Caenorhabditis elegans: one gene and its partners. The protein of the gene in region 1 purifies or fractionates together with the protein of each later gene. This does not show direct contact. Each region holds a gene or a part of one and is shown in the gene's direction. Other genes may lie near its edges.

Region 1 (11,670 bases):
GATTCCCTTGCGAGCGCATCTTTGAATGGCGTTTGAGATGGCGATCGGGGCGTTGTCGGCATGGTAGAGCTCACGAAGAACGGCGAATGCAGCATCGACTGGAGCCATGCGCCTGAAAAGAAAATAATTTTATGATTAAAATATTCGCTATAAATAATTTTCTGAAAACTTACTTCTCAATTTTGTTCTGTTCTGGTCTGAGCGAGTCCTTAGCGAATTGCATCAAACGGAGAGCTTCTTCAACGTCACTTTCGTCGACAATCGTGGATAGACGAAGCTTAGCACGAGCTGTCGCCATTCTGACGATTCCTAGAATCATTCTTGGCGACACAAATGTTGGATCGGACGAATATCTAGCATCTCTGCGCATCTCAACGTATGCCTCGACAATACGTTCTCGAAGAGCTGGATCGACAGTTGGAGTATACGTCTTGCAAAGAGAAATGTACTCGCGAAGTGTCTCAAGCGAGATGAGATCCTTCTTCTCACGATTTGGATGGCAACCGTGCTGATGAACATATGTGATGTGCTCAGCGAGAATCTTGTCGTTCTCACGATCAGCCTTGTCCTGCATGAGAAGAATCAAATCGAAACGGGAGAGAAGTGCAGCTGGAAGATCAACGTTCTGCTCAATGGAACGATTTGGGTTATATCTTCCGTAGGCTGGATTGGCAGCGGCGATGATAGCCGTACGAGCGTTGAGTGTCGTCATGATTCCAGCTTTGGCAATCGAGATGGTCTGCTGCTCCATAACTTCATGGATCGCAGTTCTATCGTGATCCATCATCTTATCGAACTCGTCAATGCAGCAAATTCCTCCGTCGGCCAACACCAAGGCACCACCCTCGAGAGACATCTCTCCAGTGACGGGATCCTTCATCACAGCGGCCGTGAGACCAACTCCAGAAGAACCACGACCAGTAGTGTACTGAGATCGTGGAGCCAACCGGTTCACGTAGCCGAGAAGTTGAGATTTAGCAACTCCTGGATCTCCCATCATCAGAACGTTGATGCATCCACGAATTTTCATTCCGTTCGAGCTGTTGTCATTTCCTCCAACGAGAGCCATCAAAAGGCACTTTTTAACATCAACGTGGCCGAAAATTTCCGGAGCGATGGAGGCGGCAAGAGTTTCGTAGTTGTCTCCTTTGCGACGGAGAACTTCCAGTTCGGCGGATTGAACTCCATTGAAAGTTGGGTTGTCGTCAAGATTGTTGATGTACTGAAGAGTAACGAATAATTTGATAATTTTCAAGTTTTAACTTACGTGAGCTTCCAAATAGGTATCGGCAACGAGTCCTCCAGTTGGTCGGAAGCCAGACTGCATAATTGGCAAGAATACTCCAGAAACATGCACGACATTTCCAGTATTGCACTTTCTCGTCATCTCCCCGTAAACGTGAACAGTCATTGTGCGAGGAATCGATCCTACTGGGACTTGCTCGCTGAGCTCTTGAATTTTGAGCTCTTGGAACTTGACGAATTTCGATCCACGAAGCTGCATGTGAAGTCTTCCGTTGGCTTTTGCCTCAACGCATTCCTTGTTGGGACAGTTGACCGGTGGGGTGAATTGCATTCCCTTCACAGGCTGATAGACTTCGGCGGCACAAGTATCGCAAGTGTAGGTCATGACTTCAACACAAGGTTTCACCTCGGTCGCACGGATAACAACTCCCTTCATGGAGACCAAGTGCCCGATCTCGGTGGCTTTGATGTTTCGGACACACGTTTCATGGGCGGCATCGTCCGTTGTGAAGTAGACCTCGAAGCGTTGAAGGAGCTGTGGTGGGTATTTCTTGCGTTTGTCCTGAAGAGAAACTTCCTCGTTGGCGGCTCCCTCGTTCCTATCCATATGAAGACGCTGGAACATGTAGGCATCAAGAGCATCGATTACTGGCGCTTGCTTGTCTCCGAGATAGTCCTGGATCATATCCGAAATTGTGTCCTTGAACAGGACTTCGTATCTCTTTGTATTGGAAGTAATGGCTTCTGAGAGTTCAAGAGCATCTGGAATATCAGATTCCTTAATATGGTCAACATTCACAACGATTGCCTGCTTGTCGCGGCGAGCAATTTCAAAGACTTGATCACGATATGGGAATGCCTAAAAGTTGAATTTAAATACTCATTTATACACCAAATTCGGGAATACCTTTCCAGATCCGTCCTCATTGTCCACATAGTATTCGTCGAAGAAACTGCGAATTTTCGTCTTCTCGGCAGCCCAGTCTGTGTTGTAAGTGGTGGTTTTCATGGTGAGTGAGATTATAGGATTATAGAGCCGGGCTGAAATGATGGAAATTTTATTTTTTAATTGGAAAAACTGAAAAAATCGCGAAAAAAGCTGCTCTTGTAGCACAAAACCGATAATAAATGAGCGAGAGAGTGAAGGAATGTGCGGCAGATGGCAGCGTCGTCCGTTCGAATTTCGCGCGTTTGCCTCCTTCATGTCGTTGCGAGACCCACCAGAGTGCGAAAGTCTATGCGCCTTTAACTTATATTTTTCCGACATGGACTGTGCCATTTTTAGCTGTTTTTAAAGAAAATTGTTCGTTTTTTCATTGATTTTTGGTTGTTTTTAGATGGAATTAATGTTTATTTTAATTAAAATTGGTAAAATAATTGCTAAAATCGATAAATTGCTGCAGAAACGACAGGCAATTCTGAGAAAAAATGTTTTTTTTTGTCTCATCAGTAAAATTGTGGTTTTTCTTGGTTTTTTGTTAGTTTTTAGATGGGATTAATGTACATTTTAATCGCAAATTGTAAAATAGCTTTTATAATTTCGAAAATCGATAAATTGCTGCAGAAACGACACATTTTTTGTTTCAAGAGTAGAATTGTGATTTTTCATTGATTTTTGGCTGTTTTTAGATGAAATTAATGTTTTTTAATCGCAAATTGTAAAATAGCTTTTCTAATTGCTAAAATCGATAGATTTCATTAGTAAAATTGCGGTTTTTCTTTGTTTTCTTGTGCAAAATTAGTCGCTTTTTTCCAATATTTCTTTTTTATTCATGTTTTTCAGAAAATGGTCGCCTGGAGAGCCGCTGGACTCAACTACGTGCGTTACTCGCAAATCGCTGCCGAGATCACCCGCAAGTGCACCAAGCAAGTCGGAGGAAAGGCCGCTGTTAAGAAGCCAGAGGCAACTCTCAAGGTGATTAAATACGCCTTATTATTCAAGTTTTAACACGAATTTTTCAGATCACCACATGGGAAAATGGAAAGCAGCAAAAGTAGACAAATGATCGCACAACAGTATTCGAATAATTCCATTTGGATACATTCCATACCTTTCTTCTCTCACTTCCGATTGTTTATGATTTATTTTATTAGACGATATAAATTTTAAGCTCAATTATTCCTTTGCCTTTAAGTTGTTCAAGTTACCCCAGTCTTTTTGAATATTTTTTTGTGGGGGTTTTCAGGTCAAAAAACACTATTTTCAGATTATGTATTCTCCAAAACGGGTAAAACTCAATGTGACCAGTGGAATGAGAAAACGGCCCGAAACCGGCGAAAATAACGATGATCTTTACCCACCGACGGCTCTTGCTCGCAATGGGATTAGTCCGTATTTTATCGGAAAACCCCGTCGAAAAATAGTCGTGGAGACACCTTCGGATTCAGCTCAGCAGCAGCCTCCATTCAAATCTCGTTCTCAACAAAATGGTCTGGATGACGAGCTAGACGGGATAATAATTGATGAAGACGAAGATAGAACCGTTGATGTGTCGTTTTCACAAAAACAAGACACCCGGAAGCTCAAAAGTCGACCGTTTCTTGGCGAGAAAAGCAGCTTCAAACTTGGCGAAATTCCGAAACCAAAGGAGGAAAAACGCCGAGAAGAGCCGTTCACAATGCGAGGCTTCGATTTTGGAAGCGACGATAAAGTGACGAAAATCAGAGACAAAATCTGCGATATAGTGGATCCTACAAATGCTAGAAGAACTGATCCGAATTTTATTCGGCAAATGCATGAAAATACGCTGAAAGGCATCGAGGTGGCTTCAAATCCGCACTTTAAGAAGACCAGGTTCGTTAAGAGATCACGAAATTCTGAGAATGCGTATTTCACAACATATTTGACGCGCAAGATATCTCGTAGCGAAAAAGAAAACTACAGTAATTCTTTAAATGAAGCGCTTGTGTCGATTTACGGGCTTGATTCTCGGAAAAAGACACATTTTTCGAATTTTGATAGCGATATTCAATTTTTCTTCGTTTTTTTCCTATTCCTTTATCATTTTTGTGCTTATTTTTAATATTTTTTTTCCATTAATAAATTATTTTAATTGAAAAAACTCCAATATTCGCGTCATTTTGATGATAATACTCTAATACTCCACAAGCGTTTTTTTAACACTATTTCCCGTTTATTGCCGTAATAGGCGGGAAATAATATAAAAATACGCCTGTATGAGCTTACTCATCAAAAAAACGCCAAAATTGGAGTTTTTTGCAATTAAAGTAATTTATTAATAGATAAAATATTAAAAATAAGCACAAAAATGACCATGGTATTCGAAAAAAAAACGAAGAAAAATTGAGTATCGCTGTCAAAATTCGAAAATTTTGTTTTTTTTCCGAGAATCGAGCCCCCGTAAATCGACACAAGCGCTACAGTAGTCATAAAAAGAATATTTTGCGCGTCGAATATGTTGCGCAGTACGCATTCTCAGAATTTTGTGTTCCCGTAATATTAATCGATTTTTTTAAAAATGAAAGCGTCGTTTCAGAGCACCTACGAAAAACCGAGCAGCTATCCAAAATACCCTCGGAACCCTCTATCCATCATTTACGACTGCAGCCGGCCAGGATCCACAGAATAGCAAGTTCCAAGTGCCTCTGGATCGTCAATCCAGTTCCCAATCGATTGGAAGCTTGGCAGGGATACCACCGGCCAGAAGAGCACCGGATATCCCGAAACGATGCTCCAATCCGCTCATCAGAAAGGCGATGGGAATGGATACGGAAGGAGGTGGAAAAGATGAAAAAATGAGTGGATTGAGAGCTGAGCCAACGCTAAAGCACTTTGATGAAAATATCATTTCATTGATTGAATCGGAAATTATGTCTGTGAACAATGAGATCGGATGGGCTGATGTTGCTGGATTGGAAGGAGCGAAAAAAGCATTACGGGAGATTGTTGTACTGCCATTTAAAAGACCGTACGTTCTGAAAGGAGAAAAAAAGGGTTTTTCGGGTTTTTAGCTTGCTCAGACTCATAAAGTGCTCAAAAATGGCTGAAATTGGTTAAAATCTCGTTTTTTGTCAACTTTTCCACTTTTTTTGGTGGTTTATTTCACATTATTTTGTTGACGTAGGTACACTTAAAGCCGATAGGTGTTTTTAATTTAATTGTTTAATTTTTTATCGACTTAAATGAACCTAAATTGACGAAAAAATGTGATATAAACCACCAAAAGATGCTAAAAAGGATGATAATTCAATAAAATAGTGTTTCAGCTGATGCGGACAGGAAAAATAGACGAAATTCGAGATTTTAGATAAAATTAGCTATTTTTACGAGGTTTTGAACGCTTATTTTGTGCTTTTAGTCTATACACGCAAAAAAACCTCCTTTAAAGGTGGTGTAGTCGAATTTTTTATTGCATTATTAGACTCAAAATTATCTGAAAACACCGAATTTTATGATGAAACTACTTGGAAACTTCTCAAAAAAAAGTTATGAAGGCTTAAAAAATGTCCTAAAATTAGTTAACATTTGAAATTTGACCGACTTGTCAATGTCGCAGCGGCTGGAAACAATTTTTTTTAAATCACCGTCAAATTTTGAGTATGTAATGTAATTATCTTGCGTTTTCAACTTCACTTAGGTATTTTAAAGTCGATGGACGGCGAGATTTGGTAAAAAAAAACAATTTTAATCTCGCCGTCCATCGACTTTAAAATACCTAAATCGAGTTGAAAACGCAAGATAATTGACCTGTATACTCAAAATTTTACGGTGATTTCAAAAAAATTGTTTCCATCCGCTGACAAGTCAAATTTCAAATTTTAACTAATTTTAAGCCATTTTTTGAGCCGTCATAACTTTTTTTTGAGAATTTTTCAAGAAGTTTCATTATAAAATTCGGTGTTTTCAGACAATTTTGAGTCTAATAAAGCAATTTAAAAAATCCTCCAAAAATTTAATTGACAATTATAATTTTTTTCAGTGACGTCTTCACCGGAATCCGTGCTCCACCGAAAGGTGTTCTTCTATTCGGACCACCAGGAACCGGAAAAACAATGATCGGGAGATGTGTCGCTTCCCAGTGCAAAGCCACTTTCTTCAATATTTCAGCATCGTCGTTAACCTCAAAATGGGTTGGAGAAGGTGAAAAGCTTGTTCGTGCTCTGTTCTCAGTTGCTCGTCTGAAACTTCCGAGTGTTATCTTCATCGATGAGATCGACTCGTTACTATCATCCCGGTCGGAATCGGAACACGAATCTTCACGGCGCATCAAGACAGAGTTCCTGGTACAGTTGGATGGTGTGAATACGGCTCCAGATGAACGGCTTCTTGTATTGGGTGCCACAAATCGGCCACAAGAGTTGGATGAAGCTGCTCGTCGACGCTTCCAGAAGCGACTGTACATTGCGCTTCCGGAGCCAGAGTCGCGCACACAAATTGTGCAGAATCTACTTGTAGGCACGCGTCATGATATCACAAATCATAATTTGGAGCGGATTAGAGAGCTTACAGACGGCTATTCTGGAGCTGACATGAGGCAATTGTGCACTGAAGCAGCGATGGGTCCTATCAGAGACATTGGAGACGATATTGAGACGATTGATAAGGATGATGTGAGGATTCTGAATTAATATCAAACACTTGTGATCGGTGTAATCGCGCTCCACGGCCAATTGAAATTGCCCCGCCTCATAATGCTGGGTCTCGTTAGGAAGAAAAAAAATCCCATTGCTTTTGATTATGCGTTAATATCGAAGCTTCACGTGCATTTTCAAGAATCATTTCGGCATGAAAACCAGAAAGCAACTGAAAATAAATCAAAAAATGCATATAAACGGATGATTTCAGTAAAATCGAATTAAAAACTTGAATTTGCCGCCAATATTACGGTAACACTGAATTCGGAGAATGCGTACTGCACGACATATTCGACGAGCAAAATATCTCGTAGCGAAAACTACAGTGATTCTTTAAATGACTACTGTAGCGCGTGTGTCGATTTACGGGTACGATTTTCGAAACAATGAATCTCGTAAATCGACACAAGAGTTACATTAGACATTTAGAGAGTTACTGTAGTTTTCGCTATGAGATATTTTGCGCGTCAAATATGTTGCACAATACGCATTATATAAATTTAATGTTCCTCTTATACATAACGAGACCCAATGTTTAGCGTTAGAGCGCGATTGCACCTCAATTTAAAAAATCTCATTTTCCTCCGTCCACATAATAAAACACCTCCATGTTCCGAAAATGAACACTTTTCGAAAATTTATGAAATGTCATGCCACAACAACAAACAATTTCGCAACTCTCTCACATGACTGACGAATCTTATTATTTTTTATTTACCATTTGCCGTACGAATTGTCACATTTATTTTCTATTTTTGCACTCGGTCATCATAAAAATTAGATAAACACTCGAGCTCTGAAACATCAAATGCTCCGGTTTTAATCAACTAATCGATGAAAATTTCAGATTCGTGCCGTTACTGTAATGGATTTCGCCGAAGCAGCTCGTGTCGTTCGGCCAACAGTCGACGATTCTCAATTGGATGCCTACGCGGCTTGGGACAAAAAATTCGGTTGCCTTCCACCTCCTTCAATATCCCGTTGAGACCTTCAGAATTGAGCTGTCGAATATGTGTACTATAATTCCATCCACTTCTTCTATTTATTTATTTTTATTTTCATTGAAATCTTCTCCTGTATTATGCATTCCATCTCTTTTCTATATTATGATCTCAAAACGATCCGTATTTCATTGTTTTTTTTTATATTTTTTCTGAAAATTATTATATATTTTCAATTTTTAAACATATTTTTCATTATTCATTATTGAAATTTCAAGGTTTATTTTACCTTTCTCGTATATTTTTTTAATTTTTTTATTCAAATTTCTAGCTTTTTACCATTGCCAGCCAAAAAATTCCAGAATGCCAATTCAAGAAATCAAGTCAGGAGAGGAGGTTGCTGCGTTCATTAAGGAACCATCTCCAGCTGTTCTTCATTTCTACGCATCGTGGGCTCCAAGCTGTGAGCAAGTTAATCAGCTACTGGATGATTTGCTCGCTGAAATTGCTCTGCCGCTTCGTGCCGCCTTCATTGACGCTGAAGCTTTGCCCGGAATTTCGTTGAATTTCAAGATTACTGCTGCGCCGACGCTTGTATTTTTTAGTGTAAGTGAGCAACGAAAAAACAAGAAATTGAAATTTGTGAAAAAAAACAAAGAAAAGTTTCGATTTATTCTGAACTTTTTTTTAGGAAAAAAGTCATTGAAAAACGTTAAAAACCACTGAAAACCACATTTTGAAATCATTTTTTCGTTAAAATACCAACAAAAAACCAAAAAGTCCTATTTTACAAAATATTTATTCAGATGGGTCTCGGCGCGCAAAAAAGTTTATGGTAGTTTTTCATGCAATGTTCAATAAAAATTGCTTCGTTTTCTTTCCATTTTTCTGCTAAAAATGTTTATTTGTACCTAAAAAACTGGTTTCTAAAAATTTTAACAGAAAAAAATGAAAAGAAAACGATAAAATACGCTAAAACAAAGTAATTTCGTTGAAAAATGCAAGAAATAACTACCATAAACTTTTTCTGCGTGCCGAGACCCATCTGAATAATTCCGTGCGCCTTTAAGCGAAATTTTACAATACATCCAATTCATAATAAAAAATGATTAATTTCAGAATGGCAAAGAAGTCGACAGAATCGATGGCTTCGTGCCAAAAGAGATCCAATCAAAAGTTGTTCTTGTTGCCAGCCGATCCCTTTCCCAGAGCTCATCGGATGCTTCATCTACAACCTCTTCCACACCTTCACTGACTCCACAACAAGAAAAGGAAGCTCTAAATGCCAGATTGGGTGCGCTGGTCAATTCTCAAAAAGTCATGGTTTTCATGAAAGGAGATCCATCGGCGCCACGTTGTGGTTTCTCGAGAACTATTGTCGAACTTTTAAATTCACATAAAATCAAATTCGGATCCTTCGACATTTTCTCGGATGAAGCAGTTCGCCAAGGATTAAAGGAATACTCGAATTGGCCAACTTATCCTCAACTCTATTTCGATGGAGAATTGATTGGAGGGCTTGATGTCGTCAAGGAGGAGTTTTCAGATCCACAATTTATCAAGCAACTTCCGAAAGTTGGAGAAAATAGTGAGGGGGGATCACTTGAAGATCGACTCAAAAAGCTTGTCTCATCGCAAAGATTGATGCTATTTATGAAAGGAGATCGGGAGACACCAAAGTGCGGATTTTCACGAACTATCGTTGATTTGTTGAACAAGGCTCGTGCTGATTATCATACTTTTGATATCTTGGAGGATGAGGAAGTCAGGCAAGGGCTTAAGGTTAGCTCTCAAAAAATGTTGTCGAAAAATATGGGGAAATTGCTTTAAAACATGCCTTTGGTACCACAATAACCAAATATCACCGTAAAATTTTTTTATTTTAAATTTTCTAAATTTTATATGATTTTTTGAAAATTGAAAAAATCTCAGTTGAAAAAATCTCGTCGAATTCCGATTTGAACCTCCCGCCAAGTGATTTTAGCGATGGAGCGCGCTTGCTCGTTTTTGTTTTTATTTATTGTTATTGTTTTTCTTATATTCCACCGATTTTTCTTGTTTTCAGTGTATTTTTTCAGGAAATTTGAAGGAAAAGTCAAGAAAAATGTGATTTATCGATTAAAAATCAACATTAAAGGCTTAAATCTTTGAATTGAACTATTTCAGGCTTTTACGCCTTTAATTTTTGATTTTTAATCGATAAATTACATTTTTCTTGACTTTTCCTTCAAATTTCCTATAAAAATACACTGAAAACATGAAAAATCGGTGGAAAATAAGAAGAAGAAAAACACAATAAATAAAAATAAAAACGAGCAAGCGCGCTCCATCGCTAAAATCACTTGGCGGGAGGTTGAAATTGGAATTCGACTCAAACTGAGATTTTTTCAATTTTCAAAAAATCATATAAAATTTAGAAAAAAATTTAATAAAGTTTCTTACGGTGATATTTGGTCATTGTGGTACCATAGGCGTGTTTTAAAGCAGTTTCCCCACTGGCACTACTTCACCTTTAACAAATTAACTTTACAGAAATTCTCCAATTGGCCAACTTATCCACAGCTCTATCTCGACGGAGAGCTCGTCGGAGGGCTTGATGTCGTCAAGGAAGAGCTCTTGGATACGCATTTCCTTCGTCAGATTCCAAGAATTAGAAATGATTAATTAATTCCATTCCACGCTACTTGTCTTCTTGATATATTCCCCGGAAACCCCCCGTTAATTGCCTTTCAAATTACTTTATGTGTGTGTAAACTATTTTATTGTCCATATGAAATAGTACAGAGATTGTTCATCAGTTCGATCGGTCATAGAACAAGATCGTAGACAACGCGGAAGCAAGTGCTACAAACAGGAAACCCATGATTCCGGCGAGTGGTTTGAATACTGAAATTAATTTCACTGTGTTTGAGTAGAAGGATTTGTTGAAAAGCTGTGGCTATGGCTGAAATCGTGGCGAGACCTACTTTAAATAAGTACCAAATGTTGCAAATTTTTACGATATCACGACATTCAAAGTGGTCTGGCCAGCCGCAACACATTTTTTATGCCAAAACTACGGTACCCGGTCTCGACACGAAACATTTTAAACTAAATTCAAACTGGTGTGCGCCTTTAAAGAGTACTGTAATTGAAAACCTTCTTCGTCGATTTTGCATAGTTTCTTGTTTTATTGATCAAGTTTTACACATTTCGACCAAAAAACTATAAAAAATCGATGAAAATACCGCAGCAACGAAAGTTCTGAAATACAGTACTCTTTAAAGGCGCACACCCATTTGAATGCAACAAAAATGTCGTTTCGAGACCGGGTACCGTAAGTTGGCCCAAAAAAAACCAAAAATTACCATCCTCCAGGCAAATTTCTGCGGAGAGACTCGAGTCGATAAGGAATGTACGAGCTGGATGTCCCGCCAAATACCACAAGTTGTAATCATTCTGAAATTCTCAGTAGAGCGAGTTTGCTTACGCATATCACACATACCATATCAATAACACGATTCTTATTTTTAAGAACCGCAAACTTTATCGGATGTTGGGTCAGAGCCTTCGAAAATTGACCGCCAACTGAAAATTTGACGTTTTCGTTGAAGAGGACCAAAATGCACGGAAGAAGCGATGCATTGATGGACCGGAGAGACGGGAAATGGATTGGAGAGCTGATATTTGTGTTGTTCGCAATGATTATCGATCCGTGCACGTGGCGAACACGTTTGTAGACTTCAATTGGAATTGCGATGTCAGCTGAGAAAGAACCGGAATTTTGAACTACCAGGTCTCACAGCGAACAATTTTTGTTTGTTTTTGATATTAGATGACTTTCAAAAAGATGCACTGCGGCCACGTATTATGAAGACGTAGAAAAATGCGTCTTTTAAAATCGAGGTGC
Region 2 (9,090 bases), on another chromosome or scaffold:
ACCGTACTCGCCGAGTGCTGTAGCTGCAAATTTTAGCTCGTGTCAGGACGCGAATGAAAATATTTATTTTGAAAAGGCATAGTTATAGAAATTTTCAAACCACAATATAATAGTGTTGCGCGTGTCTTCCTCATTGAATTTTTCGCGCTTCATTGACAGTCGCCCGCCGGACAAAGTCGTGTACTCCACACGGACAAATACATTTAGTATTACAACTATTTAAAATCGAGCCGCGACGCGACACGCAACGCGCCGTAAATCTACCCCAGATATCGCCGAGCCAAAATGGCCTAGTTCGGCAAACTCTTCCATTTCAATTTATGAGGGAAGCCAGAATTCCGTGTTTGCCAAAAGTTATATCAAATTGTGTTTCTTTTCTATAATAAATTTACATTGACAAAACCAGTGTTAAATACAAATTAATTTATTCAACACGACCCGGAGATTAGTAGGATTTTAAATTTCAAAAAAAAAAATCGCATTCAAATCTTGCACTCCTCCTTTCCACGCCGTCTTTCATTTGATGTGGCAAATCGTGCAGAATACTTATTTTTTTTGGGCTCCGGCTTCTGAATTCCTCCCTCCAAATCGGTACACAGCTGCTGGGTCTGATGGAATTGACGGGCGTCGCAAAGATAACCGTTTCGACATTGTTGATCGTTGCATGGCGCGCGACCATCGTAGATCGAACGACGATTGTGGTTTCTGAAAATATAAAAGAGATTATGTCTGAAAATCTAAAAAAAAACTTACTCGTAATATTTGTTGAAAAGACTATCATCAGTCTTCATTCTCTCAATCATTTGATTATACTCCGTCGGGATTTGTCCTTTAAGACCATATTCCATGTTGGCACTTTGATAGAGTACTTCCCATTTCACATTTGTTGGATTCGCATTGTTGGATGTCAAGTTGAAGAACCATTCCTCATAGTCGATTACTTGCTGAAATATATAAAGTTCCTGAAATAAAAGCTCTCACTATACGTACATAAGTTGATCCCTTGTGGACCCCATCAATTGTGTAGATTCTATAAGCCGGGAAATAATCCGAGTAGGGTGTCACAGACGGAGCCGAGTAGACCACACTAAACGCAACACATTATCTGAAGCCCGTAGTTCCAGTTACTCACTTAGTTGGAGTAGACTTATAGTCATCCGGGTTCGCGTACATCATGTAGAACTTTTCAGAGTGGGTGTGCCCGAAGAATTGACCGACAACTGTGTTTGCGTATCTGAAATCATTTACAATTTTTACGTACTTCTCTTCTAACTTTTGAAACTAACCGATTGATAATCTTATAATAGTTTAGAGCATATCCTTCAAGAGCTTCTCCGTCGGATCCAGGGATATGTGCAACGATATGTACCTTGTCTCCAACATTTTCTGCATCTTGGAGCTGGTTGATGAGCCATTGAAGGGTGCCATCTGGGTCAGTTTGGTTGATGTATAGCCAGCTGAAAACATTATTATTGTAATCCTACAGTACCGCTACCGTACCCCTAGCCTGCCCCAATCATAACGTACCGTGTCCCTACCGTATCCCTACCGTATTCTTATCGTACAGTGTCCTTACCGTAACTCTGCCGTCTCCCTACCGTATCCCTCTCGTACACCAGTTATACCACACCGTGTCCCTACTGCATCCGTTTTGTACCGCGCCGATACTGTACCTCTACCGTACCCTACCATATTGTTCCCGTATCTCGCGGTACCCCAACCGTACCTCACCATACCTTTAATGTACCACCACCGTACCTTATCCTACCGTATTCTACCGTACCCCAACAGTACCCCAACAGTGCCATATGATGTCTGCCTAAGACCCCACCGTACACCTATCATACCCCTAATCATAAAGCACCTATATTGTATGTTACCGTACCTCGACAGTACCCCTATCGCAAAACTACCGTACTCCTAACATACTCTTACCGTACCCTTACCGTATCCTGTCGTACCCCTCCCGTACACCTCACCGTACCCTCACTTACAAATTGATGCGATCTCCATAAACATTATTCAGCGAAATCATTCGAAGCCCATCATAGATCTTCTTCATGTAGCATCCGTTACTGAAATTGAGATGCTTACAATTTTTTTCCCAAACTCTTCAAAAAACCCAACTATTCCAAACTCTTCTCCTGATCCGCTGGAATCCATCCCTGCCAGGCGTTTGACATGGCCTTGTAGAGCCAATCCATATGATACTTCTTCGGTGTGAAATGTGGTGCAATACTGTAAAAATGGTCGTGAGTGATAAACATAGAATACAAGTTCACCCACTTATCAACAGGAACTCCTTCATGATTCCCGACTGCAAAGTAGACCGGAGTTTTTGGGAAATACGAGCGAATCGTATCCGACAAGTTTTTTACCATAAACGAGTGGGTTTCCGGAGTGTACGCCCAAACTGTATGGGACACAAGGTCTCCGGATACCATAATGTAGTCCAGTTTTCCAGCGGTACTTGCGATGTTTTGGAGCATGTTCGTGAGAAGCCAATAAGGTGTGTCGCACGAACCAACACTTCCCCAAGGTCCAGCAGGTTGTTTGACATCTCCGTTTTCAACGATTTCCTGAAAAAAGTTAAGGGTTTATACGTGCCTACGTGAGGATCGCGCCGATCAATCAGCGACAAGAGCCACGCCCTTTGTGCATCGCTGATTGGTCGGCGGCCTCTTCAATTACGCGCGAAGTCAAATTTTTGAAATGCTTCTGACAAGTACTTGTTTTCTAGCGTTACATAGTCATATTTGTTAAAAGTGCAGAGTTCTGTAGAGGTTCTGTTAAGTATTTCTTCATTCAAAAATTTCAAATAGAAACCCCCCAACTTCGGGGGCTTCTCCTTCCCATCTCAACTTCCTTATCAAATAAATATTTTTCAGCAACCTTTGTGATCGTTGCTCTTTCTCCCTCTTTCTCAACAATTTTCCAAATTAAACACCATACCACATTCATATCTTGTGGTCGACAACATTGCGGAGTTCCACAGTCTGCCTCGAGCCCGACCGTGTAGAACATGTCAACATGAAGGTCGGTCAAGTGAAGTGCTCGCAGAGTTGGGTTGCCTGGCTGAAAATTGGAGGTTTTGTTGGTGTCGGGGTAGGCGCCTGTTTATGCCTACGTGCAAACCTACCACTTATCTAGTGGCATTCGGAAAATTTGGCAGTAGACAGTAGTAGGCAGGCATAGGTAGGCATACCTTTTTTGTCAAAAAAAAAACCTACCGGAACAACTTGTTTCGGCACGAATGGTGGCTGATTTCCAGGAATCGTCATGTTCCAAATTGTCGCCAATGGATCCACGAAGTCTCCGCAGTCTGAAATAATTCCAAATAGGCATGCAATCGTGCCTACCTACGCGCCTACATGCGTGACTAGCCTGAAAGATAGTGATCAGCTTGGCAGTCTACTAGAATCTTCTCAAGCCGCCCCGCACCCCATGTTCTATTAGGGCGGCGGGTCACTGTTACGCGTCGGTCTGGTAGTAGGCATGTAGGTAGGCATGTTTGTGCCTAGGCATGGTAGTACTTACCATTTTTCATAAGCAATCCGCAAAGTTGATGTGGAGTCACGAGAATTTGCTTGATGACATACATGAATTCGTCCTGAAATCTTTGATTTTCAATACATTTTTAAAATTAAATTAAATATTAATGTGTCTCACTGAGAAATCCGAAATAATAAAGTTACAGACATCATTATCTTCAATATGGAACGTTTCACAAATAAAAACCGCAATTTCCATAACACATTCTTCAGTCTTCTTTTCTCCCCACTCAAATTGCAAAAGGTCCACAATTGACTTGCATTCCTCGCATTCTGTCACCGCGAGGGTGCCTGGAAAATTTTTTCCTGGAATTTAAACACAAAAATGTAAATCTAAAACTCTACCCTGAAATGCGAGAGAAAGGACGAGAAGACCTAGGAGCATCGGAGCCGTATCGTTTCTGATGTTAAACGGGAGCAGCGGCGGAGGGGGAGAAGCCGAGGTTTCCAGTAATAAAGATAAGAAATTTGGAGCGGGAGAAGCACATGGCGATGACACGTTGGGAATGCTCACTGATTTTTGAACGACTTATCAGGTATGGAGACTACAAGTTTTTTGGAAACTATAACTTTTTGGAGAGGAAAAGTTCAAATATAGAAATTTTTCTTGAAAATGCACCAAAAAATGTGAATAAAACCTTTTTTCTGGACAAAGTGCCTACGTGCCTGCCTACTGCCTATTTTAGGCACGAGGCAGGCGCAGGTCGCCTAGTAGGCAGCTATCATTTTTGTATCGGCGCGAAAATTTCAAGAGAAACTACAACAATGGCATGTTTTCCTGCAATGTTGAAATTTTATGCCTGCCTACCGCCTATTTTAGGAATGTGTGTAGAACGAGGCAGGTGTAGGTGGTTCTAGTGGCCTGCAGACTAACATTTTTCGTGAACTTGAAAATTAAAAAATAACATTTTAACTAGTTGGGCTTTCCTGCCTGCCTATGGGCCTATCTACTGTAGGCAAAAGGCAGGCGTAGGCCGTTTCAAAGGCGTGTAGAAATTTTCGTGCGAAACCGAAAAAAGTTATGCAATATTAAATTAATATATATCTTCAAAACCAGAATACGTTTTTTCTACCTCTCTACCGCATATTTCTCGCCTGAAGGCATAGGTCGCCTTGCAGGCAAGTGGCACATTTGTGCTTATGTACATTGGAAAGGTTAAGAAAATGTTTTTTTTTAATTTAAATAAAATAAATTACTCCAAAAAACTGCACCAAAAGTTCAATTTAAAAAAAACGTGAACTTCAAAAATACGAGAAGATTCTTATCACATCCCCTACCCCCACTCTGAATTTTTTCATTATTTTTGTATTTCGAAACTTTCGCGTTGCATCTTCTCCCATCATGAAGAAATTGTCCAAAAAAAGCTCGAGAAGAAAAGTTAAAAATATTAACGAAAAAGTAAGTTGTGATTTTCGAAATTTTCAATTTCCAGGCGTCTTCCAGAACTAATTAAATTTCAGAAAAAGAAATCTAAGGCACGCAGTCATAAAAAGCAACAACTTCAAAAGTCGAAGCAACATGGTAAAAATAAGAAGACAAAAACTAAGTCAACTAGTGGATCTTTGTCGGTGGATAAATCGAAAGAGTCGGAAAAGATGTTGATAGCAAGGAAAAATGATTCAAGAACGGTGAATTACAAGGAAAAAGCACCGGAAGCTGTAAAAGATCATGAGATTCCTAATGCAAATCGCAGTGAGTTCTAGTGTTTTTTTTTTGAAATTTTTTTGGAAACTTTTAAAGGGCTCAGGAAAGTTTTTTAAACGGTTCGGAAGTTTTAGAAACCTTTGGAAAATTTCTGGAAGATTCTGGAAAGTTTTTGGAACGTCTGATGACTTTGAAAAATTCCAAAAATTTTCAGAAGCTTCTGGGAGCATCTAGACATTTTTGAAAGCTTATGAAAAATTTTTAAAGCCTCTGGAAACTCTTGAAACATTTTTTATTCGAAAAAAAAAAATCAATTTGAAACATTGAAATCCACGACGTCCACGTGGAAGCAAAATTATTTAATGACGTATAAAAAAAATTCCAACAAAAAAATTGTGCTTGCCTGTTCATCTTCTGCCTTTAGGTAGACACTAAAATGCCTACCTACCTTAGTAGGTAGGTAGGCAGGCATCTTTGTACCTACCTGAAAATCCAAAACCCTAACACCTCCACAATTTCCTGTTTCAGTTCCCGGAACGACACGGCTCAACGAACCGAAAAACATCGAGGTCACGAATCACGAGGTGGATGATAAGACGACGGAGCGAGTCTATAAGAAGTTGAGGGAAAAGAAGAAGTCGGCGGCGAAACCGAAACCAATCGATGCGAAAAGCAAGCTTCTGATGGATCGAGTGCCGAAAAAACCATATCGATTGAAGAATAAGCCCGATGGTATGATGTTGTGCGACGAGCCATCCACTTTCTACCGTACCAACACTTCAAAGAAGAAACTGAAGACGTCTTTACTTCCCGTTGAGGATTCTTATGATCACGTTCGAAAATTGGAGGACATTAAGAAGGAACCAGAGCAAGATGTGTACAAGGGTCAGGACGTCCCCACCTGGGCAGTAAAAATAGAACCAACTGACGATGACATGGTGAGTTATCTTTTTGTGTAGGTCTCAGGAAAAATAATTTTAAAAAATTTCAGAAAGAGACCGACGAGGCGATCACTGTGAGTACCGATCATTTGGAGATGTACCGAAACAAGAAGCTCAGTCTCAAAAGCATTCCCCCCACGAAACTGGTGCTCAACGAGCTACAACCGTTGGTGGAGTTGAAGAAGAGAGATGAAGTTCACTTTGAGACCGGGCTGGTGTTCTCCAACACGATTCGGAGTCTGTTGCTTGTCCATGAGAGTGCTCGAGCGCTGAGTGATGGAAAAGTGGATGATGAGTATTCCGACAAGAAGGTCCAGTTTGATACACAGGAACCGGAAGCAACATACATCTACTCGGTGAGATATTCCCGGCTGGGGAACAGCTAATTGAAAATTTTCAGAGAATCAACCCAATCGAATCGGCCAAAGCCGCTCGTTCTGGAAAGTGACACGCCAGCACTTCTACCACCAATACAACCACATCGAATTAGAACTGAACTTGATTTTGCCTTGATTTTATAAATAAAGTGTGCGTTCAGGGCTTAATTTAAAAATTTTTATTAATTTTAATAAGGAAATGCGAGCAAAAAAGTGAAAAAGGTTTCAATTTTTGCAGTGGGAGTGGATAGAAAGTAAAACAATGAAATCATTATGTGATGAGCGAGGTAAGGAATAACAGAAGAAGGCAATAAATACAAGTTTTTGAAAAAAATTTAAGTGAGAGTGGAGTAAATAAAAATGATGATGGGAGCTTAGTTCTGGACTTGGGAGGGAAATTGGTACTTACATTAGTTAATTTAGGTAAAAACCTGAAATTTTAAATTCCGGCAATTTTCCCTTTGGCCGATTTGCCGGAAATTTTTAAAGGGATTTTTTAACAGACGGATGAATTTTTTCTGTTTTTTCTACATATTTTCATAGAGCTTACTTTTAAAAATAGATGTAGGAACATTTATACGATGCGTACAATTTTGTCATTTGAAATTGAAACTCTGAAATTTCCAAAAAAAAAGTGCGAAACCACAATTTGCCGAGAATTTTTTCCGGCATATTTTCTAATAGTATTGCATGCGATACTAATTTCCGGATACCTTTTCAGTGCAATACTATTAGAGACTGCAAGACTAATTTCTTTGGGTGCAATACTAATAGAGAACATACGGTAATCGAAAAGTGAAATTAATATGCATTTTTAGGTTTAAAAAACACTAATTCTAAGCCTAATATAGACAAAAAAAGGCACGTTATATTTTCAAAATGATTGACTTTCTTTGGCAGGTATACTACACAAGTTCCGGAAAATTAAAAAAAAACTTTGAACAATAGAGTTTGTAATAGGAACAGCTTGAAAAATAGATGCAAAATGTAAGTTTTTCAAGATAATTCAGGCTCGCCCATTACAACAAAATTTTGAATGAAATTTGTAGAGGAGCACGAGTTTAATAACAATGAGTACAAGCAGTTTCCCAATCATCAAACCCAATATAGAACTCATCATATTCTGGGGGACTGGGGGCCCATTTCCTCACAGTTCCCAATCTGCCGACCTCATCTTCAGTGATCATATGGCCGACTTCATTCACTAATTCTCTCGCCACCATCATTGAATTTATCCTGGAACCCATTGCTGTGGTCAAGAGGTTTGTAATGTTACGAACATCATCAATAGTTTTTCTTTGTCTATTTCCACAATCACATTTTCGGATTTGAATACATCTTTCAATAATTTCACCAATCCCACAATTCGCTCATCCATAGTTTCCTTGTTATATGTAAAAACAAGAGCCGAGCTTGTGAAGCATTTTTGGGTGGCAACGCTTTCCGGTAGATTCCAAATTTTCCTTAGTGATTCAATATCCTTCTTCAATTCAGGAGCAAAAGAAAGATGAGGAAAACCTGGTTCCTCACATACTGCAACAAATATTCGTTTTGACACAAATATTATCAAGTTAAGTTTATAAAGATGTGTAAACTGTCTGACAGCTATCTTGGAATTCTGAGAAGCCATCGATAAGGATAATCTGAAAATTGTTATATAGTTAGACAGAAAAAACAGTATGGAAACACAGGAAGAGTATTTGAAACTATTAGGGTGAGAAATAAGTTTGTGGTTTTTTCTTGCGATATTTTTTCAAACTTTTATATGGTAGTTATAGGAAACTATGATTTGTGTACATTCAAATGTTGTGAATCAAATTTCTCGCTTCCATGCTTCTTGGAGCCACTTCTTGAATTTCAATAATTTCCAACTTCGATCCTTCGGTCCATTTTTGAAAAAGTTTCTCAGTGACGTGTGATTCAACAGGGCAATGAAATTCGATCGATTTCCATTTATTCACCGAGCTAATGATACTGTCGTTTGCAACAAACGCTTCTTTCACCACTCCCATCAGTCGCTCAATTTTCTCGGTTTCGCCGAACAATTTTCGGAACGCTCCATCGATAGTGGTCTGCTTTCAAAGTTCACGCAAATTCGATCTGGATCCTCGACTCGAAACGTTTGAGCAATTTTATGGAACGTGTAATCTTCAAAGTTCTCAAAGAAATTGGAGGAGAATGTCAAACTGTACGCTGTTTGTCTGTTATTTTTGAATGATTCGAAGATTTCGTTGCAGTATCCTAATAATTTTTGGTTCTTGTCCATACATTGCTTTTCGCCTGAAAATTTTTTTGGAACTGGCAACCAGAATTCAGATTTCTTATTCTCTTCGGCATGAACAGCGAGCTGCATCAATAAACGATTTGTCCCTCTTTCGTTCGAGTGAGAAACTGCCAATACCACCAGGTCTGTTGACACTCCGGTCCGAGATGGCAGCCAGAGCCTCGGAGTGACAAGAAGACGACGGACGGAACGGGAGAATTGATGAGCGGTGCTAATAACAGTACACAGTTTGACGAAAATCCAAGTTTATTGAGCAGGGCAGCTTTATGCTGGGATAAACGAGGCAAAAACG
Region 3 (10,946 bases), about 14 Mb from region 1:
AAAAAATGCAAACAAATTTGTATATTTTGAAAATTGTTTTATTTTGAACGGTTAGAATATTTTTTCCAAAACAAAAAAATTTTTTTCAAGTTTCAAATTTTTTAAATTTTGAGATTTCAAGCATTTTTGGAAAATTTTGTACATGGCAAGATTTTTCATATCATTTTCATGGATTTGACATTTACTTCGGCTACATTTCAAGAAACTGGGCTTGTCGAAATGATTTGGACCGATTCGGGCCGTTTCAGGCCGTTTCAGGCATGAATTTCCAGTTTTTCTGGAACTGCGTTCTTACTTTCAGGTTTTCCTCATTACTGCATAATTTCTACACTTACCTTGACCTAAATTCGTGGTGCTCATATTTCAAGTCTAGAACGGCCTGAAATGACCTGAAATAGGCCTGAAATTCAACATTTCATTGTTATGCAAGTTAAATCAAAAGCCTGAAAATTATCTTGAAGTTTTAAGTGAAGGAAATCTGTTTTTCAATAAATTTTGAGTTTCGGGCCAGTTTCAGGCCGTTTTGGGCCGTTTTTTGGCCCAAACGTCCAAATGTTCAGAGTATAATCAATATGGGTGTTAAAATTTTGCACATTTTATGGAGAACACGAATTTTACATTTTTATTGTTCAAAATGTCCCCTGGTGTCCCCGAATGTCCCATAGGTGTCCCATAAGTGTCCCTCTCGTGGTTTTAGGCTATATTTGTCGGAATTTGCTCATTTTTTTTACAGAAACACTTTAAAAAGTGTAATTAAACGTTTATTTTATGAAAAATTCCAATTAAAACATAAAAGTTATCAAAAAGTTCCAAAAAAAAAGTTTAATGAATGCAATCAGTACCCTCTCCTGGGTACTTATTGGCCAAATTCAGAACTCCAATGTCAAAAAGTTGAGCTTCTTTGGATCCTTTGCCAACTGCGTTCTTCGGAACATGAATGGTAACCCTTTTCGGGCAAAGCTGAAATTTTTGAGAATTTTTTCAGTAAAATTTTTGAAAAAAAGTCGAAATTTTTCGCTGAAACTCACTCCGACGTGGTTGCATCTGTGATAAATATTGATTTTTGGGTCGATCTTGCGAATTTTATTCTGGCCGCCGACTACTTTGAAGGTTCCGTCTGCCAATGTGTTTGTAACGTCCATCTTGGTGTCATAGACTGCAATTTGGGGCATTTTGCTTCCAAAAATGATCAGATCGCTAGGATTTTACAAAATTCAAACTCGTGGCGTCAATAGCTTCAATTTGACACCCATATTGTCTATATTCCGGCAATTTTGAAGATTTTGGTTAAACCGCGACGCGACCGCAACGCACGGTGATTTTTTGCTTCAAAATGTTGAATAAACTAATGTTTATTTGAGATTTCTAAGTTTGTATTAGTGATACTGAAATTTTTATGTCTTCAAACGTGCACAGTCCTCAGTGATACGCTTGTTTGCAAATTTGAGCGGCCGCGACGCGGCCGCGACGCATGGCTAAAATCAAATGTCTTTAAATATATACAATATGGGTGTTAAATGAGAGCTATAAACTACAAATTAAGGAAATACACGCGTTTGATTTCCAGAAACTGATTGTTTCGTTGCTACGACTGCTTCTGAACTTGAGCGACCGCGACGCGACCGCACCGCACTCAAAAAACTAAAGTTGTCTGATCATAGGCAAAATGGGGGTCAAACAAAAGCTAAGAACGTCAAAAATTCAAAAATCGTATTTTCAACCTTTAAAAGCGAACTATTCTAATGTTACGGTTAGAAACCGCGACGCGACCGCACCGCACTCAAAATACCAAAGTTGTCAGATTATAGGCAATATGGGGGTCAAATGAAAGCTAAGAACGTCAGAATTTCAAAAATACACAAATTAAAACATAAAACTGGAAAAAAAAATGGCTCACCAGTTCCATCCTCATACAGCTTGATCTTCACATCCTTCACAGCTTGGCCGTTGCAAGTGAGCTTACCAACTACAGTAACCGTCTGCTTTCTACCAACAATTCCGCCGAGCCCGTGAGCCACGGCTAAAGTCGCAAGGAAGAGCAGACAAAGTTTGAGCATCGTTTGAGCAGATTCTCAGGAAGTTTCCGTGAGTTTTGCTCCCGGTTTTTATGGGATTTTCGGGTGACAAACATGTTTTTCTGGTCCCCAGCGGCATGTTTACACTAAACAACAACTGTTCCGTTAGATAATCACCTAATCGCCGACTTTTATCCGTTTCTCATCTCGTCTGATTTCCCTGATTTCTTATCATTTTCCTGGATTTCTTATCGATTCCCGGTCGACTCCTGAGCAATGTTCAAAGAAATTCTGCTCATTTCCACTGTTTTTCTGCTCACTGATGCCTTGGGAGGTATTGTTGGGAGTAAACAGACGGTCACTGTGGTCGGCAAACTGGTCTGTAACGGAGCACCGGCTAGAGACGTCCGTGTGAAGCTTTTCGAGGATGGAACTAGTAAGTTGAAAGTTTCAAATTCGATTTTTTCAAGTTGAAAATGTCTCACCACGCTGTTAGCTTCAATTTGGCACTCATATTGCCTGTATTTGGACAATTTTTGGTTTTAGGGCACGGCGCGGTTGCGTCGCGGTTTCTAATAGTCACTATTTACCGTAAAATTAGAGCAGTTCGTTTTTAAGGATCAAAATTACGATTTTTGTATTTCTGACGTTCTTAGCTTTTATTTGACCCCCATAACGACTATATTCGGATAACTTTGGTTTTTTGAGTGCGGTGCGGTCGCGTCGCGTGTCAAATGCAAAAATTATTGTAAAGCTCCACAATGGCAAACATTTTTGAACAAAGACGTTGTATTAATCATAACTCAAAAACTTACCGCGTTGAAGCATGAAAAATGCAATTTCAATTTTCGCCGCGTTGCGGTCGCGTCGCGGTCACACACCCCAAAATTCAAATTTGTCCGAACATAGTCAATATGGGTGTCAAAATTCTTGTCTTGACCTGGAAAATCTGAATTTCCTAGTTTTAACAACAAAAATGTTAACTTTGAACATTTTATTTCACAAAAATACAATTTTCTGCAGTCTACGACACGAAAATGGACTCGGTGAAAACAATTGCTGATGGAACATTCAAGGTCTCGGGATCCCAGAATAAAATCCGCAAGATTGACCCGAAAATCAATATTTATCATAAATGCAACTATTCTGGAGTAGGTTTTTGGAGAAAAAAATTGAAAAAATTCGATTTTTTTCCTATTTAAAAAAAATTCAAAAATTTTGAAATTTTCAGCTCTGCCCAAAAAAAGTGACTATTCATGTTCCAAAAAATGCAGTTGGTAAAGGATCCAAAGAAGCTCAACTTTTCGACATCGGAACCCTCAATTTGGCTAACAGATACCCAGGAGAGGGCACTGATTGCATTCATTAAACTTTTTTTGTAATTTTTTGATAATTTTTATGTTTTAATTGGCATTTTTCATAAAATAAACGTTTAATTACAATTTTTAAAGTGTTTCTGTAAAAAAAATGAGCAAATTCTGACAAATATAGCCTAAAACCATGAGAGGGACACTTATGGGACACCTATGGGACATTCGGGGACACCAGGGGACATTTTAAACAATAAAAATGTAAAATTCGTGTTCTTCATAAAATTTGCAAAATTTTAACACCCATATTGATTATACTCTGAACATTTGGACGTTTTGGCCAAAAAACGGCCCAGAACGGCCTGAAACTGGCCCGAAACTCAAAATTTATTGAAAAATAGATTTTCTTCACCTAAAACTTCAAGATAATTTTCAGCCTTTTGATTTAACTTGCATAACAATGAAATGTTGAATTTCAGGCCAATTTCAGGCCATTTCAGGCCGTTCTAGACTTGAAATATGAGCACCACGAATTTAGGTCAAGGTAAGTGTAGAAATTTTGCAGTAATAAGAAAAACCTAAAAGTGAAAACGCAGTTCCAGAAAATCTAGAAATTCAGGCCTGAAACGGCCTGAAACGGCCCGAATCGGTCCAAATCATTTCGACAAGCCCAGTTTCTTGAAATATAGCCGATGTAAATGTCAAATCCATAAAAATGATATAAAAAATATTGCCATGTACATTAAAAAAAAAATTTTTTTTGGAAAAATATTTGAACCGTTCAAAATTAAACCATTTTTCATGTTTTAATTTGCAATATAAACGCTTAACTACATCTATGCAAGTGTTTCTGTAAAAAAAGAGCAACTTCTGACAAATATAGCCTGAAAACCACGAGTGGGACACTTATGGGACACCTATGGGACATTCGGGGACACCCGGTAAAATTTTGAGAAATATGAACTCAAAATTCGTGTTCTTCATGAAATTTGCCTAGTTTTGAAACCCATATTGGCTATGTTCTACAAACTTTGAAATTTTGGGCAAAAAACGGCCCGGAGCCTGAAAATGGCCTGAAATACAAAACTTTCCTTTAAATAACTTTTATTTCACAGTTTCAAATTTTTCAAAAACGTTTGCTGAAATTATCGACATATACCCGTCAATATTTGTTTTCAAGCCTAGAACGGCCTGAACTGTCCTAAAACTGGTCTGAAATTCAATTTTCCGCAAACATAACCAATTTAGTAGTTCCTTATACAAGTTGGCAAATTACTACAAACGCACTGGCATTAAACTGAGTGTATTGATATTTGGGCTCCAAAAAGCCCGAAACGGCCTAAAACTGGTCTGAAATTCAAATTTCCTCGAATATAGCCAATATGGGGGTCAAATAAACGGAAATTTTATGAAGATTCCAAATTTTCATGTAACAAGGCTTGAAAAAAATCAAAATTTTCAATAACTTGCTCATAAATTAATTTTTCAACCCCCTGTCAACACCAAAAATCTATAAAAGAACCCCAACAAATTCGATGTCGAAATGTGCAGAATCACCCCGATCTTTCCAACTTTTTCCCCCGAAAAAGTGGAAAATTTTACGATTTCGGCCATAAAACTCGGAAGCTTAAAAGCCAACCGTAGCCCGAGGCAATCAAAATTTCGCCGCGAAAATGCAAGTTTTCGTGATTTTCCTGGTGGTTCTACCCATTTCAGGGGTAGTTTCCATCAATATTACAGAACCCGAATTTTTTGAAATTAATATCGATCGGGACCATCCGGAGAAGCTCTACAAGGCTTTTGAGGATTTTAAAAAAAAGTGAGTTTTTTTAATAACGAAAACTTGGCCCAAACTTCAAAATTTTGAAAAATCAATTAAAAATTCGGATTCCCCATAGCAAATAACCCCTACGCCTGAGTTTTCAGAATTTTAGTGCAAAATCCCGTCAAATCGGGTGCCGGGTACGCAAACACCAGGCTACAGTAACCCAAAACACCGGATTTGACGACATTTCGCACGAAATTGTTGAAAAATAGGGTGCAGGGGTAATTTTGGGTGGAGAATTCGAATTTTTACATAATTTTTCAAAAAAAAAATGGTTTTGAAGTGTTGAAATTTCGATTTTCAGAAATAATTGAACATTTCTATTAAAATTTTTCAGAAATCTTATTGTTGCCGTTTTAAGCCACTTTTGAGAAAAAAAACATAATTTTTCACAGGTACAACCGAAAATACAAGGACGAGTCGGAGAATCAGCAGAGATTCAATAATTTCGTAAAATCCTACAACAATGTCGATAAGTAAGTGAAAAAAAACATGGCCCAAACTTCAGAATTTTCAAATTTCGAGTCGAAATTCGGATTCTACGTAGCAAATAACCACTAACCCCGTTTTTCAAAAATTTAGCGCAAAATTCCGTCAAATTGGGTGTAAGGTCCACAAACACTAGGCTACAGTAACCAAAAACACCAGATTTGACGCAAAATTGCACTAAAGCGTTGAAAATTTCGGGACAGGGGTAATTTGAGGCGTAGATTTCGAATTTCATAATGAAAATGTTTTAAATTTGAGTTTAAAAATGAAATTTTTGAATAAAAAATTTCGAAAAAAAATTTCAAAAAAATTTTTTTTTTTCGGTTTTTTTTCAATTTTTTTCAGATTAAACGCAAAGTCAAAAGCAGCCGGATATGACACCCAATTTGGCATTAACAAGTTTTCTGACCTATCCACCGCCGAATTCCACGGCCGTTTGTCCAATGTAGTGCCCAGCAACAATACAGGGCTCCCAATGCTCAACTTCGACAAGAAAAAACCGGATTTTCGCGCGGCCGACATGAATAAAACACGCCATAAGCGTAGATCAACACGCTATCCAGACTATTTCGACTTGAGAAACGAGAAAATCAACGGGCGATACATTGTGGGCCCGATCAAGGATCAGGGGCAATGTGCGTGTTGCTGGGGATTCGCGGTCACCGCACTGGTGGAGACTGTGTATGCAGCACATTCTGGAAAGTTTAAGGTAAAAATAAAACAATTATTTGAAAAATTTGAATGAAAACTGTGAAAGTTCGAGGAAAATCGGTGAAAAATTGGCGTGAAAACTCGAATTTTTCGATTTTTTTTTGAAAACAGAAAACATTGCCGTTGGAGCGCATTTACACCCTCTAGCCTGAAATTTAATTCTATTTTTCTGTAAATATATCGTAGATCACATTTTTTGCTATGTTTTCCATTTTGAAAAATGGCAAAGTTACGTTAGTTTCAAGTGTTTAAAGCGAAGTTGAACGAATTTTCAGTAGGTTCTCAGCGGAGTGCGTTTACTGCTTTTACACTAAATTTTATTAGACTTTGACTATTTTAATATTAAACTTTGCAAAAATTGGTATTGTACACGTTTTTTAAATTTGGAAAATCTTGAAAATTGGCCAAATTACGGATGTTTCAAATTTTCTAGTCAAAATACACAGAGTTTTGAGGAGTTCTCATTGGAGCGCATTTACAACCCCTAAACTAACTTTTCTCTTATTTTTTTGTGCATAGTTAATGTAGATCACATGTTTCTCTACTAGTTTCTTTTGGAAAAATAAGAAAATCTTGAAAACTGGCCAAGATACGATTTTTCACAAATTTGGGTCAAAAAATGAGAAATTTTGAAATATTCTTATTGAAACGCATTGGCAAGCCCAAAACTAATTTTTTTTTTCAAATTTTCAATGTATTTAGTGTAGATCACATGTTATTTCACTAGTTTCTTTTTTAAAAATAAGAAAATCTTGAAAATTGACCTATTTACGGATGTTTCAAATTTTCTAGTCAAAATCAACAGAATTTGTAAGAATTCTCATTGGAGCGCATTTACAACCTCAAAACTGACATTTTTTCATGATTGACTACTACAAATATAGCAGATCATATAATTAGGCGCAATTTTCAGTTTGAAACTAAAAAAAATCTTAAAAATTGGCAAAGTTACGGTAGTTTCAAATTTTTCAGTTAAACTTGGCAGAATTTCAGAATTTCACTGAATTTTTGAATTTCTATGTAAATTTTTGAATATTTTCAGTCCCTATCTGACCAAGAGGTTTGTGATTGCGGTACGGAAGGAACACCGGGATGTAAGGGAGGAAGCTTGACCCTCGGAGTCCAGTACGTCAAGAAATATGGGCTTTCTGGAGATGAAGACTATCCTTACGATCAAAATCGGGCTAACCAGGGCAGAAGATGTCGTTTAAGAGAAACTGACAGAATTGTGCCGGCTGTGAGTTGGAAATTTGAAAATTTGAAAAAATTCCAAAAAAAAAAATTTTTTTTTCAAAAATTTTTTTTTCAAAATTTTTACTTTTTTTAGAATCAAATTTTTTAATTTTCTACCAAATTTTGTTCAGAGAGCCTTCAACTTTGCCGTAATCAACCCACGCCGAGCCGAAGAACAAATCATCCAGGTGCTCACCGAGTGGAAGGTCCCAGTAGCTGTCTGTAAGTCGGCGGGACCAACTGGGGGACATGGGACATCCGGGAGTTTTGAAATTATTAAATTCAAAATCTCCTAAAAATTTGCAAAGTTTTGACATCCATATTGGCTATATTTGGAGAAATTTGAAATTTGGGCCTGAAACGGCCTAAAATTGGCCTAAAATCGGCCTGAAACTCAAAATTTTCAGTCTATAGCCCATGTTAGTGTACCAAAAAAAAATTTCAATTAAAAGCCAAGTATTTTGGCTATATTTCAGTAAATTATATTTTAAGACCTGTTTCAGGCCTATTTCGGCCTGAAATCGGCTCAATACTCAAAATTCTTTTGTTTTGGTGTCACAATTTTACCATTCAATTGAAAACTTGAAAATATTTGGAACATTTCATTTCAAGGCCAATTTTACCCTAAACCGGCCTAAAACCGGCCCGAAACTCGAAATTTGCCGATCGAAATCGATGTCGGTGCCAAAATTTTGAAAATTAAATAACCAACTCAAAAGTTTTGCTGAATATGAAGTACTTTCTTTTCAGGCCTGTTTTGGCCTAGAATCGGCCTGAAATTGGCCCAAAACCCAAACTTATCGAAATATAGTCGATATGGGTGTTAAAATTTTGCAAATTTAACGTGTAATTCAAAAATCTAGCTGAAAACCTGCAGAAACTCCAAGTTTTTCGAAAAAACTCGAAATTAAAAAAAAAAATTCCAGATTTCAAAGTCGGCGATCAATTCAAAGAATATAAAGAAGGAGTGATCATTGAGGACGATTGTAGAAGAGCTACTCAATGGCATGCCGGAGCAATTGTGGGTTACGATACCGTTGAGGATAGCCGTGGAAGAAGTCACGACTACTGGATTATCAAGAACTCCTGGGGAGGCGATTGGGCTGAGTCGGGATATGTTCGAGTGGTCAGGGGTAGGGATTGGTGCTCAATTGAGGATCAACCAATGACTGGAGACATCAAAGATCATAAAGATAACTATTACTATTAATTTATTTTTCTCACTTCTTTTTGTTAAAAAAATGAAAAATAATTATTTTTTTCGAAAATTTGTTTCTTCAAATTTCACAAAAACTCTTCAATTTTAAGCTGTTTTACTTAAAAAATTGAATTCTACGCAAAAAATGTGTTGATTTAACACCCATATCGACTATATTCGAAAAACTTGAACTTCAGGCCGTTTCAGGCCATTTCAGGCCATTTCAGGCCCAAAATTTCAAAAAGTTGCTTTGTGCCTTGCTTTTACCAGCAGTTGGTGATCTTCAACGTGGAATCCGATTGAGGAGGCAATTTTGGGAAATAATCAGCTTATTGGCTGAAATTTCTAAAATTTAAACCGAAAACTTGGCCCAAATCTGGGAATTTCGAAAAATTAAGCTCAAATTCGAACTCCGCGTGGTAAATTACCCCCTACCCACAATTTTCAGAATTTTTGTGCAAAATCCCGTCAAATCTGGTGCCAAGTTCGCAAACACCACGCTACAGTAACCCAAAACACCCGATTTGACGACATTTTGCACTAGAGCTCTGAAAATCCGGGTTCAGGGGTAGTTTTTGATGGAGAATTCGAATTTCGACTTGAAAATCTGGAATTTTAAGTTTGAAAGTACTGAAATTTCGGGTTTCGACAATCTGGAACAAAAACTTGGCCCAAACTGGAAAATTTTGCAAACCTGAGCTCAAATTCCGATTCCCCGCGCTAAATAACTCCTAACCCCCGATTTTCAGAATTTTTGGCCAAAATCCCGTCAAATTTGGAGCCAAGTTCGCAAACACCACGCTACAGTAACCCAAAACACCCGATTTGACGACATTTTGCACTAAAATTCTGAAAATTGCGTGCTAGAAGTGATTTTTCGCGTAGAATCTGATTTTGAAGTCAGATTTTCAAAATTTTGAAGTTTGGACCGAGATTTTAGGAAAAATTTAATTTTTTTTTAAAGATTAAGTTTATAAAAACAAATAAATAAATAAAAATACAACAAAAAAACAGCGAGATTCGGGGGAAAAGTCGAAAACTATTCAACTTTGCACAATTTCAGAAATTCAAATTCCAACGGGAAAATTTTCGGGAACAAGTGGGCCGAGTCGGGCAAATGATTTTGAATGATAATTCTAAAGACAGAAGTATTGATTTTATCGATTGATTCTTTTTCGGCGGGCAGGCCCTCGTCAACGTCACCGCGTAGAATTTCCATGTGATATGTGTCGATTGTGGCGGTATTTAGCTGACGGACCTGGAAAAAATTCGGAATTTTTTGGACAAAAAAAAAAGACATTTCTGACTTTAAAACTTGAAAATTCCGAAAAACCAGGTGAAAATTTGAATTCTCCATCCCAAATTCCCCCCCCCCCTTAGCGCAGCCCAATTTTCAGAATTTTAGTGCAAAATTCCGTCAAATCTGGTGTTTCGGGTTACTGTAGCGCGGTGTTTGCGTAACCCACACCTGATTTGACGGAATTTTGCACTAAAATTCTGAAAATTGGGAGTTAGGGGTAATTTACCACGGGGAATTCAAATTTGAAGTTATTTTACCAAAATTTTGATTTTTGGGCCTAAAATTTCGGCCCAAAATTGTAAAATTTGGATTTTCAGGCCCTAATTTTCAAAATTTCGAAAAATAAAATTTAAATTCGGATTCCCCGTGAAAAATTACCCGGAAACCCCAATTTTCAGCAACTTTGTGCAATTTTGCGTCAAATCTGGTGTTCCGGGTTACTGTAGCGCGGTGTTTGCGGACTTGACACCAAATTTGACGGAATTTTGCACAAAAACTCTGAAAATTAAGGGTTAGAGGTAATTTGACACGGTGTATTCGAAGTTGAAGTTATTTGGCCGAAATTTTGCTTTTTGGGCCTAAAATCTCGGCCCAAAATCATAAAATTTGGATTTTCAGGCGCTAATTTATAAAATTTCGAAAAATAAAGTTCAAATTCGAATTCCCTGGGTCAAATTACCCCTAACCCTCAATTTTCAGATATTTTGTGCAATTTTGAGTCAAATCCGGTGTTTTGGGTTACTGTAGCGTGGTGTTTGCGGACTTGGCACCTGATTTGACGGGATTTTGCGGGAAAATTCTGAAAATCAAGGGGTTCGAGGTAATTTTCCACGGAGAATTCAAAAATCGGCTCGAAATTTCAAAA

The links.
Region 2: the proteins of figl-1 (region 1) and W03G1.2 fractionate together in Caenorhabditis elegans (co-fractionation; one large-scale study listed by BioGRID). This does not show direct contact.
Region 3: the proteins of figl-1 (region 1) and Y51A2D.8 fractionate together in Caenorhabditis elegans (co-fractionation; one large-scale study listed by BioGRID). This does not show direct contact.

Annotation. Positions count from the first base shown.
Region 1 is NC_003283.11:4,337,782-4,349,451, reverse strand, and holds figl-1 (Fidgetin-like protein 1), read left to right. Parts: upstream 1-3,452; 5' UTR 3,453-3,455; coding exon 3,456-4,039; intron 4,040-4,742; coding exon 4,743-5,174; intron 5,175-6,185; coding exon 6,186-6,816; intron 6,817-7,687; coding exon 7,688-7,825; 3' UTR 7,826-8,021; downstream 8,022-11,670. Other genes in the region: mcm-7 (DNA replication licensing factor MCM7), read right to left, coding at 1-112, 174-1,222, 1,268-2,104, 2,153-2,254; hpo-18 (ATP synthase subunit epsilon, mitochondrial), read left to right, coding at 3,032-3,160, 3,208-3,243; glrx-3 (Glutaredoxin 3), read left to right, coding at 8,145-8,387, 8,901-9,563, 10,314-10,445; irld-1 (Receptor L-domain domain-containing protein), read right to left, coding at 10,576-10,667, 11,129-11,219, 11,266-11,525. UniProt on the Caenorhabditis elegans protein: Has a role in spindle assembly which acts in the progression through mitosis during embryogenesis. Required for fertility.
Region 2 is NC_003282.8:519,804-528,893, forward strand, and holds W03G1.2 (Ribosomal RNA-processing protein 8), read left to right. Parts: upstream 1-4,848; 5' UTR 4,849-4,893; coding exon 4,894-4,950; intron 4,951-5,012; coding exon 5,013-5,244; intron 5,245-5,724; coding exon 5,725-6,134; intron 6,135-6,187; coding exon 6,188-6,493; intron 6,494-6,537; coding exon 6,538-6,585; 3' UTR 6,586-6,688; downstream 6,689-9,090. Other genes in the region: Putative sphingomyelin phosphodiesterase asm-3, read right to left, coding at 483-705, 754-944, 991-1,087, 1,133-1,234, 1,287-1,457, 1,995-2,075, 2,128-2,238, 2,287-2,579 and 5 more.
Region 3 is NC_003283.11:18,547,899-18,558,844, reverse strand, and holds Y51A2D.8 (Cysteine proteinase), read left to right. Parts: upstream 1-4,994; 5' UTR 4,995-4,998; coding exon 4,999-5,144; intron 5,145-5,545; coding exon 5,546-5,626; intron 5,627-5,984; coding exon 5,985-6,348; intron 6,349-7,392; coding exon 7,393-7,587; intron 7,588-7,714; coding exon 7,715-7,805; intron 7,806-8,509; coding exon 8,510-8,793; 3' UTR 8,794-8,842; downstream 8,843-10,946. Other genes in the region: ttr-25 (TransThyretin-Related family domain), read right to left, coding at 823-960, 1,029-1,156, 1,898-2,057; ttr-24 (TransThyretin-Related family domain), read left to right, coding at 2,292-2,451, 3,039-3,166, 3,247-3,384; ints-5 (Integrator complex subunit 5), read right to left, coding at 9,821-10,039.